Macaca fascicularis: one gene and its partners. The protein of the gene in region 3 purifies or fractionates together with the protein of the main gene of each other region. This does not show direct contact. Links are inferred from orthologs where the notes say so. Each region holds a gene or a part of one and is shown on either strand. Other genes may lie near its edges. The genes, in order: CUL4B, CUL4A and DCAF4L1.

Region 1 (3,649 bases), on a different chromosome or scaffold from region 3:
AAAATGAGTTTCCTATGTGCTTTAATCTAATAATGTTATTCAGAATTAAATGTGTGGATTTTATTATTTGACAATTGCTGCTTCAAAGCCCTGGAGCCCTAATTAGCATGGGAACATGTGGTAAGAAGTAAAGCAAACCTCTTCAGAAGTGGTATTGTCAATTAATTTAGGTTATATGTGTTTTTTATTTTAGGGACATGGGACTGGAGTTATTTAGGGCTCATATTATAAGTGATCAGAAAGTCCAGAATAAGACAATTGATGGCATTCTTCTCTTGATTGAGAGGGAAAGGAATGGTGAAGCAATTGATAGAAGTTTACTTCGAAGCCTTTTAAGCATGCTGTCTGATTTGCAAGTAAGTTAACTACTACACATACTATACAGAGCTGATTGCTTTTCCTAGTTTTTTTTTCCCGATGTCAGACAGGTGATGTGCTGATGTCATAACAATGTCTGAAGGAAGCACATCTCATACATGAGCATAAAAACCCAATCATCATGCTTCTAAACTACAAAAGGATCCTAGCTTGATGTTTAAAAACCAAATTCATAATGCTGTTTACATAGACATAGAGAATATTTAGTAAATATTTACTAAATAAATGATCTCCTTCATTTTGTTGCCCCTCCCAGATTTATCAAGATTCTTTTGAACAACGATTTTTGGAAGAAACTAACCGGCTCTATGCAGCTGAAGGCCAAAAATTAATGCAAGAAAGAGAGGTATTTAAAAATCATGACTAATACATTCTCACTGTCTCTCACAATAGACCTTACTTTGTAGAATATAAGCTTCCCTTTGCATTTATCTTCCCAACATTGTGATGCTCTTCTCTCACTTAGGTGCTCCTTTCTTTTCTCTCTTCTTAAAGGCCAGAATTCTGGATCATAAACTCTACCTATAATTTTTACATATGATTCTACCCTGTCACATTTGACAGGGCCGCTTCCAGGATCTTTTGGACTTGACATTTTCTGAGTGATTTATGGGGAGGAAAACAATAATATAAAAAACTATCTTTGTAGGTTCCTGAATATCTACATCATGTTAACAAACGTCTTGAAGAAGAAGCAGACAGACTTATTACTTACTTAGATCAGACCACCCAGTAAGTATTACATGCTGAATTTAATAGTCTTAAACTGTCGTTAAATCACTTGCAGCACTTTAGCCATCCTAAACATGTTAGTAACTGTTTTCAGGTGTGATTTGAAGTGTTAACAGTTGTTTTCATAATATAAACTTGAAGTTATTCTTTTCCCTAATTAATTAGTTTTCATCCAAGGATTCGATTAGGAGTGGGTGGGTGTGTGTGTGTGTGTGTGTGTGTGTGTGTGTGTTTAGAATGTAATTTAGAAATAATATTAGAGGCTGATGTGATCTTTAAACTCTTCAGGCCAATTAAAATTCAGTGGATCCCCCCATTTTTGTGCTTTCCTAAGTGTTAATATTGTCAGTCAGGGGGCTTCTGTATGTAGTATTTCTTTACCTTCCTAATAAAAGTAGCAAAACTTGGAAAAAACCAACTACAACAAGGTCTTGGAGATATTTATTTCATGATGTAAACCAAATTCTAAAATATGCAGTGGTTTTTAAAAATTTTTGCCTGTCTATTCCTTTATGTTTTTTTCTTTTAGGTGTAAAGTATAGTAACTCTGAGCACCAATAAATTTATACATAGGATAGGAATCTTGAAATTAACATAAAATGAGCTATTTGATTCCCCCCCCCCCCCTTCAGGAGAGGCTTTACATTTTCTGGAAGTCAAACATCAATAATGCTAACTTTTTTTCCTCGTAGGAAGTCATTAATTGCTACTGTAGAAAAACAACTTCTAGGTGAACACTTAACAGCAATTCTTCAGAAAGGTAATTGGCAATTTGTAAATAAGAGATTGCTTTTTAAATGGTAGTGGCAAACTAGTAGGGAATTTTTAAAGATGTTGCCCTTTTAAAAGTTTGACAGCATGTGGCTGCATTTCTGAGGATGGACACAATCCTTATTAATCACAGTAAACTTCCTGAAGGTGCCAGTTTTCTTATCTGAAAATACAGGAACTAGAAGAGAGGGATCCACAAATACCAATAAAAAAACAGTGGTTGATATGTGCCTGTAGTATCAACTACTTGGGAGGCTGAGGCAGGAGGATTACTTCAGCCCAGGAGTTTGAGGTCAGCCTGGGCAACATAGTGAGACTCTCGTCTCTTTAAATAAAAGAAAAGAAAAAAAGTGGGAAATTCTTGACTTAATATGTTAGCTTTCAGTAAGGAAAGGTATTCCTTTTTACACTAAAGTGGTGAGGGTTTTTTGTTATTGTTAATGGCATGTCAAACCAAGCACTTCTAATCCAAAGTGAATTTGGAGTATACCCTGCATTTTACTTTGAGAATGCCACAAATAGGTAAAAACTTTACCTTTCTCTTCAACAATATTTTCTTTGGTATAAAAATTTATATATTTAGAAATTTAAGGCAGTTATACTGTTATTTCATCCTGAAAATCAAATATTTATTAGAGCCTCATTTAAATTTGACTTAATTTATGCATGGCTTTTGATATATCACAGGCCATATCTAATATTCTGAAATATAACTATGTACATAATATGGCTACTACATATATGAGGTATTTATAATGTATATTTATGTAAACCAGTTTTTATAAGTTTGTTTTTGCCTCTATCATGCTGAATGGCACAAACCATTATGGAGTTAACCATTTTTCTTTTTCTTTTTAATTTTTTTAACTTTTTATATTAAAATAGACAGGTGGGGGGAGGTCTTACTATTGTGCCCAGGCTGGTCTTGACCTCCTGGGCTCAATCGATCCTCCTGCCTTGGCTTCCCAAAGTGCTGGGATTACAGGTATGAGCCACCGTGCCTGGCCTGTTTTTATTTTTATAGTGACTAAAGTCTCTATATTTAGTTTTTACCCAGAAAGATGATTGGGTTTAATTCAAAGGAAATCTTAGAACTCACATACAGACTAGTCATAGTTCAAACCAGTATCACAATAATGATTATAACTCAAATTTTATTAAAATGTCTGATAATCTTGTTCACTTTTTTGTTCACTATATTTTAATGCCAAAATGTTTTAAAATACAGGTTTAAATAACCTCCTTGATGAAAACCGAATTCAAGATTTGTCTCTTCTGTATCAGCTCTTCAGTAGAGTTCGAGGTGGAGTTCAGGTTCTTTTGCAGCAGTGGATCGAATATATCAAGGTATTAACGATTTACCTGTGATTTTTCCCTCTTACAGCTTATCTACACATCGAGAGTGCATATTGGCAAGCATTTCTTGTTCGATCCATTTTTTTTTTTTTTTTTTTTTTTGAGACAGAGTTTTGCTCTTGTCACCCAGGCTGGAGTGCAGTGGCGCAATCTCGGCTCACTGCAACCTCTGCCTTCCAGGTTCAAGCGATTCTCCTGCCTCAGTCTCCCAAGTAGCTAGGATTACAGGCATGCACCACCATGCCCGGCTAATTTTGTACTTTTAGTAGAGATGGGGTTTCAGCATGTTGGTCAAGCTGGTCTTGAACTCCTGAACTCAAATGGTCCACCCGCCTCAGCCTCCCAAAGTGCTGGGATTACAGGTGTGAGCCACCACACCTGGCCTTGATCCAATTATTTGAAGGGAATTTTA
Region 2 (3,649 bases), on a different chromosome or scaffold from region 3:
ATTGGGGGCAGCAGGAGTGTTGAAGCAAAGCACGGAACCCCCAACATGGGTTTTGTGGACAGTCACTGGCAGCTGAAACATCTTCGTAACATTCCTCAGGCCGTGAGCTGAGGACTGCGATGAACTCTGAAAGCCGTGTGTCACCTTCTCTTCTTGGGAAAGCAGCAAACATTTGGTAGGAGAGCTCCCAGGGCTTGGAGAAGGGAAGCTGCTGGGATGTGCTCCGCAGAGGATATTGGGAAGAGAGTGTACCCTGAGGGCTGTTGCAGATGGTGGCAGGCAGGGCAGGTGGGGCAGGCAGGGTCGTGGTACCCGACTGAGCATCTCCAGTCACTCACCAGGAAGGTGGCAAGAACCCCGGGCTTCTGCCAGCAGATTATGTGATACCAATTTTGTTGTCAGTGGCATGCTTGGCCTAGCAATATCTCCAGGGACATGGAGCAGACAAGGCACACTAGACTGGCCGAAAAACAGAAGTTTTTAAAAAGAAATTGTTGGCACCTAGATGTAGAGAATTAGCTACTTCACATTTTTTGGATGATATTGAGTAGCATAGCTGGAGATAACACCCATAACTTCTAAAAAGCGAAACTAAAATGTATTGTTTCTTACTGTCTGTACAGGGATATGGGATTAGAACTGTTTAGAACCCATATTATTAGTGATAAAATGGTTCAAAGTAAAACTATTGATGGAATCCTGCTGCTGATCGAGCACGAGAGGAGCGGCGAGGCCGTGGACCGGAGCCTGCTGCGGAGCCTGCTGGGCATGCTGTCCGACCTGCAGGTGAGTGCTGCCTGTGCAGAAGATACCCGGGTACCTGCCCAGCTACTTGCACCAGAATAAATGGTTGTACCAAAGATGTTAAACAATGAAATCATAAAAGTGTTTGTTGAAGATAGAAGAGTCTTTAAAATCCCTAGGAGGGGAATGGCTCTCAAGCCAACACCACACCAGGTGCCACAAAAGGGAAGATGGATCAATATCACTATGTAAAATGCGCCTTTTTCATGGAAAATATACCACAAACAGACAAAACCAGATGACATACTCGGGGAGAATGTTAGCAACACACACAAAAGACAAAGGGTGAAGTTCTTTAGTGCAATGTGACCCCAAGGCACCGTAGGAAAAGAACAGAAGAGGGTCTGCCTGGCCGTTTTGGGAAGGACAGTGCAGCTGGCCGGCTGGGTGGCCACAGGCAGCTCCAAGTTCAGGTCATGGCAGCCTGCCCCGTCAGAAACTGGGATTTGTTAGCCCTTGAAAAGGTAGTTTCCTTTACTGAAATTGGTCAATAACTCTGCTCATTTCTTAGGTGTATAAAGATTCATTTGAACTGAAATTTTTGGAAGAGACTAACTGCTTATATGCTGCCGAAGGCCAAAGGTTAATGCAGGAAAGAGAGGTGAGATGATCGGATGCTTCCGAATCCCCTGGCTTCGTTTCTGCAGATGAGCATCTGGGAGGACTTTCCTCGTGTTTGCCTTTTCACACACACACAGATGTTTCATTGAAAATCTTCTGAAAGCTGCAGTCTTGCCAGAATCCCCAGTAATGAACTTCATTCTTAGTATACTAAGAATTTAGTTTATGTTAACTTAGAAACTATTGCCCTCCCCCCACAAGTAAAAATCTGTCAGATCGTTTCTGAAATAAGTAAAATAACTCAAATTTAAGCAAAATGATAAAAACATACACCTTAAAAATGAAAAATAAATACAAATGATAAAATTTTTTATTTGTGTGAAGCACTGCAAAAAATTTTCCCAAAAAAAGCCATGTGAAAAAACATATAGTAGTAATAGGAACCCAAAAAAACTTAACCACTTTTCCAGATACCAGAGCAAAATCATAAAGGAACCTGCCCCATAGACTGTCACCCAAATGGCACGTGCTGCTGCCCAGAATTGACCCTGGCCATTGGTTCCTTCATTCTGGCTTTGGAGAGGAAGTTTCATGTCAGATACTGAGCCCGGCTGCAGCTACCCCGGCAGAGCCTCAGGCCTTTCCTGCACTGTCTTGGGAAACATAGGTGTACTTTGAGGTCTCCTGCCACCATGTTGTTTGGTGTCCCCAGATGAACAGCCAGCTTGTTGACTTGCTTTTGCTGACCCATCTGTGCGGGGCAGGGTTGCCATTTAGCACCTCACCCTCCTACCAAGTGCTGCTCAGCTCCCTGTGGGCCCTGGGGATGGGAGAGGGTGTGCACAGACCCCAAAACTTAGTGGTGAGCAGGGACGAAAGAGAAGTGCAGCCTGGGCCCTGTTCTAGGATGGATGTTAATCTCGATCCTTTCTCCATGTCCCCCCAACACACTTGCATCCTACCTCTCCCTCCCTGTTAATCTGTGTTAATATTTGGCTTGAATACATATTCTGCTTTTCTTAAAAATTGCATATAAGGAAAATAAAATTTCAATCTCTTGGATAATGTTGACAGTCTTTTTGTTACTGATACGTTTGTTTTGTTTGGAAGGTTCCAGAATATCTTAACCATGTAAGTAAACGTTTAGAGGAAGAAGGAGACAGAGTGATCACTTACTTGGACCACGGCACACAGTAAGTACCGATCGCTCACCGAGCGTTCATGTCCTCACCACGGCTGGAGGGTTCTCCTGGCTGGTTATTGAAGTAAAGGGTGTCTCTGTCATTTCATTCAGCACTAAGAGTATTTTTGCACCTAGCATATTTTACTTTGTCATTTGTCCTTATTTGGCATTTACAAATTACAGTTTTTATCTAGTGCCTTGTCATAAGTTATTGTCTAAAGGGAGTAAATCTTGCTGAGATACTTGGCATCTTTGAGTTTTGAGATGGGCTATTTATGTTAACGGAGTATCACTGAATATTAGGCTATTTTGATTGTGCACTCATTTTATATCGCTTTAATTTTATTTATGGTGCTGTCACACAATTTTCTCTTTTCTTCTAATGTTTTTTTCCTGCAAACCTGAGGTTGATGAGTAGCTAGGGAAACAAAAAGGTTGAGATTATGTGAGTGTGCGTGTCAGGCACAGAATGTCCGTGTGATGGGAGGCAAGAACAGGGGCAGAGGGGACAGCAAGGGAGAGAAGTGAAAATGATACAGTGTGCAGCCGGGTGTGGTGGCTCACACCTGTAATCCCAGCACTTTGGGAGGCTGAGGTGGGTGGATCACGAGGTCAGGAGATCGAGATCATCCTGGCTAACCCAGTGAAACCCCATCTCTAGTAAAAATACAAAAAATTAGCCGGGCATGGTGGCGGGGGCCTGTAGTCCCAGCTACACGGGAGGCTGAGGCAGGAGAATGGCGTGAATCCGGGAGGCGGAGCTTGCAGTGAGCCAAGATCGCGCCACTGCACTCCAGCCTGGGTAGCAGAGGGAGACTCCATCTCAAAAAAAAGAAAAAGAAAATGATACAGTGTGCAGAACTGGGCCCCAGTAGGGAATGATAAAATGTACAGATGTGCAGAACAGGACTTGGTAGGACTCAGCAGAGAAAACAGGAAGGGAGATGAAAATGATACAATGTGCAGAACTGGACTCAGCAAGGTAAGGAAAGGGGCAGGCCGGATGAAGGAAAGAGGCAGGATTATGACAGAATCCAGCACGAAAACAGAGCGCGCAGAAGAGATGTGGTCACTCCGACGTGTGGAGTTGGAGGAGGCTGT
Region 3 (4,315 bases):
AGATGGGGACTGGAGCTATCAGTCTCCTCTTGGAAGTCCCCAAAACTTTACTAGTATCATGTAATAGGTACAAATGTCCTGAACAGAACACGAAAGATACCATTAATGAAACAAATTGACAGTTTGGACAAATCCATAATTTATTTACTTATTTTTCTTTCTTTTTGAGACAGGGTCTTATTCTGTCTCCTGGCTTCGCTGGAGTGCAGTGGGGTGATCACTGCAGCCTCAACCTTCTGGGCTCAGGTGATTTTCCCTCCCGTCTCCTGAGTAGCTGGGTCTACAGGTGTGCACCATGCCCCGCTAATTTTTGTATAATTATTTATTTATTTTTTGAGACAGAGTCTCGCTCTGTTGCCCAGGCTGGAATGCAGTGGCACAATCTCGGCTCACTGCAAGCTCCGCCTCCCGGGTTCACGCCATTCTCCTGCCTCAGCCTCCCGAGTAGCTGGGACTACAGGCGCCCGCCACCAGTCCCCCCTAATTTTTTGTATTTTTAGTGGAGACGGGATTTCACCGTGTTAGCCAGGATGGTCTTGATCTCCTGACCTCGTGATCCACCTGCCTCGGCCTCCCAAAGTGCTGAGATTACAGGCGTGAGCCACTGCGCCCGGTCTAATTTTTGTACTTTTTCAGAGACAAAGTTTCACCACGCCGCCCCCTCTGGTCTCTAACTGTATTTTAAAAATACAGGCGGCCGGGCGCGGTGGCTCAGCCTGTAATCCCAGCACTTTAGGAGGCTGAGGCGGGCGGATCACGAGGTCAGGAGATTGAGACCATCCTACCTACATGGTGAAACCCCGTCTCTACTAAAAATACACACACATTAACCAGGCATGGTGGCGGGCACCTGTAGTCCCAGCCACTTGGGAGGCTGAGGCAGGAGAATGGCGTGAAACGCGAGAGGCGGAACTTGCAGTGAGCCGAGATCGCGCCACTGTACTCCAGCCTGGGTGACACAGCGAGACTCCATCTCAAAATAAAAAATAAAAAATTAAGAAATACAGGCAAGGCGCGGTGGGCTCATGCTTGTAATTCCAGCACTTTGGGAGGCTGAGGCGGACAGGCTGCTCGAGCTCGAGTTTCAGACCAGCATCAGCAACGCAGGGAGACCCCATCTTTACAAAAAAATTAGCCGGGCGTGGTGTCTCGAGCCCATAGTCCCAGCTAGGTAGGGCAGAAGTAGGAGAATCACTTGAGCCCAGGAGTTCCAGGCTGCAGTGAGTCGTGGTCGGGCCACTGGACTCCAGCCTGGGTGAAAGAGCAAGACCCTGTCTCAAAAAGAGAAAGGAAAAAATTTAACATCAAGAACTTTCGTCAAGACGCCACTGAGAGAATATGACAACCCACAGAGTAGGAAAAGAGACTTGTAATACACATCTGCAACAAAGGACTTGCTCCCAGAATACAGAGATAAAAATTAGCAACACTTCCGTTCGCGCCCGGACGGAACTTCCTGTCACGGAAAAGAACATCCTGAAGAATTTCCTGTCACGAGCAACAGTCCGCAGGAGGAAATGGAGGCGGAAAGGCTGCGACTCCTCGAGGAGGAGGCCAAGCAGAAAAAGGTAGCCAGAATGGGATTTAATGCATCTTCTATGCTCCGAAAAAGCCAGCTAGGTTTCCTCAACGTCACCAGTTACTCCCGTTTAGCCAACGAGCTGCGTGTGAGCTGCATGGAGAGAAAAAAAGTCCAGATTCGGAGCTTGGATCCCTCCTCTTTGGCGACCGACCGATTTAACTTCATTCTGGCGAGTACCAACAGCGACCAGCTCTTCGTAGTGAACCAGGTCGAAGTCGAAGGCTCCAAGTACGGCATTATCAGCCTGCGAACTCTGAAGATCCCTTCATTCCACGTGTACGTGCTCAGAAACCTCTACGTCCCCAACCGGAAGGTGAAGTCCCTGTGCTGGGCCTCGCTGAACCAGTTGGACTCTCACATTCTGCTGTGCTTCGAGGGAATTACAGATGCTCCAAGCTGTGCGGTGCTGCTCCCAGCGTCGCGATTCTTAAGTGTTCACACAAGAGTAAACCAGCCTGGCATGCTCTGCAGTTTCCAGATCCCTGAGGCCTGGTCCTGTGCCTGGTCCCTCAACACCCGGGCATATCACTGCTTTAGTGCAGGCTTGTCTCAGCAGGTCCTGTTGACCAACGTGGCGACGGGACACCAGCAGTCGTTTGGTGCCAGCAGTGATGTCTTGGCCCAGCAATTTGCTAGTACGGCTCCTTTGCTGTTTAATGGCTGTCGCTCCGGGGAGATCTTTGCCATTGATCTGCGCTGTAGAAATCGAGGCAAGGGGTGGAGGGCCACTCGCCTGTTCCATGACTCTGCAGTGACCTCTGTGCAAATCCTCCAAGAAGAGCAATGCCTGATGGCGTCAGACATGACTGGAAAGATCAAGCTGTGGGATCTGAGGGCCACTAAATGTTTAAGGCAGTACGAAGGTCACGTGAATGAGTCCGCCTATCTGCCCCTGCATGTGCACGAGGAAGAGGGAATCGTGGTGGCAGTGGGCCAGGACTGCTACACGAGAATCTGGAGCCTCCATGATGCCCACCTGCTCAGAACCATCCCTTCCCCGTATTCTGCCTCCGAGGACGACATTCCCAGCGTGGCCTTCGCTTCTCGGCTCGGGGGCATCCGGGGAGCAGCACCAGGGCTGCTCATGGCTGTCCGGCAGGACCTTTATTGTTTCCCCTTCAGCTAATTCCGCAGGTTGCAGCGCGGCCGAATGTGGATTTGACTTAAGGAAGTTAAGAGTATCTTACTACCGTTTCTGTGAGAGCAGTTTAAGAGACGTGATATATATAGATCCCATCTATCCGGCTGCCAGGGGTAAGGTGTTAAGAGTTTTATGTGGAGACTTTTCCGTAAAGTTATTTCAGTTAAACTGGACTTAACTTGAAAGTCCTTTTCATAAAAGATACCTATTTCCTCTTGTTGAATGCCTTAGAACAGTTAACCATCTCCCCCACCCTTTTTTTTTGTAAGACTTTTCTAAGGACTGAAGATTGGCAAAAACTAAAATAAATTAAAGCAGCTTCTTTCACTAGTAGCCCTTTAGAGAAGCATAATGATGGTACTAGTAAGACTGACTAGTCACAAAGGGTCCCAGGCATCTGTGCTTGAGGAAGCCAGTGGGAGTGGAGACAAGGGAGAGGTAATTTCTCGGAGTCTCTACAGAAATATTTAAGGCTGCAGTTTGGAATCATTAAATTTCTCAAACTCAATAGCAGATCCCTTAAGATTCTCCTTTTATTATTATCCATAGGCATTGGAAGGAAAGAGGGATCTTCTTAAATACGAGAAGTTTTAAACAGTCTTTAATGTGCTTTTGTTGAAGTACCTTTCAGAATGTAAGGTGCAGCAGCTCCGGTTTCTATTATGGTGACTTGAAGTTCAGATTCAAGGAATTGGCTTTGACTTTTTGTAATCTAGGAGCAGCAGTTTGTGAGAGGTTTATTAAAAATGTTAAAGAGCCTGTTTTTCTACCAAGCAAGGAAGAAAAAAAAAATGTAATAATGTTAGTTGCTACTTCTTAATAGCCGAAGCCTGGAAATTATCTGAATTTCCAAAATGCTAAAACTCGTGCTATAATCATACAATTGGATACTGCATAATAATAGAAAATAAAGCACACTTGCTATGTGAAACAGTATGGACCAATCTCAACATGGTGATTGAAATTAGGTAGAAATGAGTACAAACTGTATGGTTCAATTCTGAAGTTCAAAAGCAGTAAAAACTTGTCTATGGTGATTAACGGTAGAATAGTAGATACCTCTGTAGAAAGAAAGGATTTTTTTTTTTTCTTTTTCTTTTTAGGATGCTTGAGAAGTGACATGGGGAAGCTTTAGGAATGCTGAGTTTTCTTTATCTTGACACTTGATAAATACATAATTCATATAGCTATATGCTTCACATTTTTATAGTTTACTGTATATATGTTATTCTTAAATAAAAATAAGAAAGCAATTAGGACACTATTGTAGTTAGTCAGGCAAGGGACAGTGATGCCTTGGACCTGCATGTGAGAAGTAGAAATGATCAGAAATGATTGCATTGGAAGATCATTCGAAGGTAGTATTATTGGTAAGACTTGCTGATGAGAGTAAACTAGAAAGTGAAAGAATAAAGGATGGCAGCAATTTTTTTTTTTTGGAGACGGAGTCTCGCTCTGTCGCCCAGGCTGGAGTGCAGTGGTGCGATCTCGGCTCACTGCAAGCTCTGAGGATGACAGTTTTTTTTGTTAACTTTAGAACTGGTAGATGATGGTGTCGTTTACTAACCTAGGGAGGATAAGGAGAAAAAAAC

The links.
Region 1: the proteins of DCAF4L1 (region 3) and CUL4B purify together in Homo sapiens (affinity purification with mass spectrometry; 3 studies listed by BioGRID and IntAct, counting the BioPlex papers as one, with this or other methods). This does not show direct contact. The link is inferred for Macaca fascicularis from reciprocal best matches to the Homo sapiens genes DCAF4L1 and CUL4B.
Region 2: the proteins of DCAF4L1 (region 3) and CUL4A purify together in Homo sapiens (affinity purification with mass spectrometry; 3 studies listed by BioGRID and IntAct, counting the BioPlex papers as one, with this or other methods). This does not show direct contact. The link is inferred for Macaca fascicularis from reciprocal best matches to the Homo sapiens genes DCAF4L1 and CUL4A.

The regions. Positions count from the first base shown.
Region 1 is NC_088395.1:126,818,009-126,821,657, reverse strand, and holds part of CUL4B (cullin-4B), read left to right. Parts: intron 1-193; coding exon 194-356; intron 357-418; exon of another isoform or gene 419-522; intron 523-634; coding exon 635-724; intron 725-1,027; coding exon 1,028-1,110; intron 1,111-1,802; coding exon 1,803-1,870; intron 1,871-3,109; coding exon 3,110-3,228; intron 3,229-3,649.
Region 2 is NC_088391.1:103,648,855-103,652,503, forward strand, and holds part of CUL4A (cullin-4A), read left to right. Parts: intron 1-623; coding exon 624-786; intron 787-1,315; coding exon 1,316-1,405; intron 1,406-2,473; exon of another isoform or gene 2,474-2,475; coding exon 2,476-2,558; intron 2,559-3,649. UniProt on the Homo sapiens protein: Core component of multiple cullin-RING-based E3 ubiquitin-protein ligase complexes which mediate the ubiquitination of target proteins. As a scaffold protein may contribute to catalysis through positioning of the substrate and the ubiquitin-conjugating enzyme.
Region 3 is NC_088379.1:41,327,287-41,331,601, forward strand, and holds the start of DCAF4L1 (DDB1- and CUL4-associated factor 4-like protein 1), read left to right. Parts: upstream 1-1,499; 5' UTR 1,500-1,517; coding exon 1,518-2,708; 3' UTR 2,709-4,315.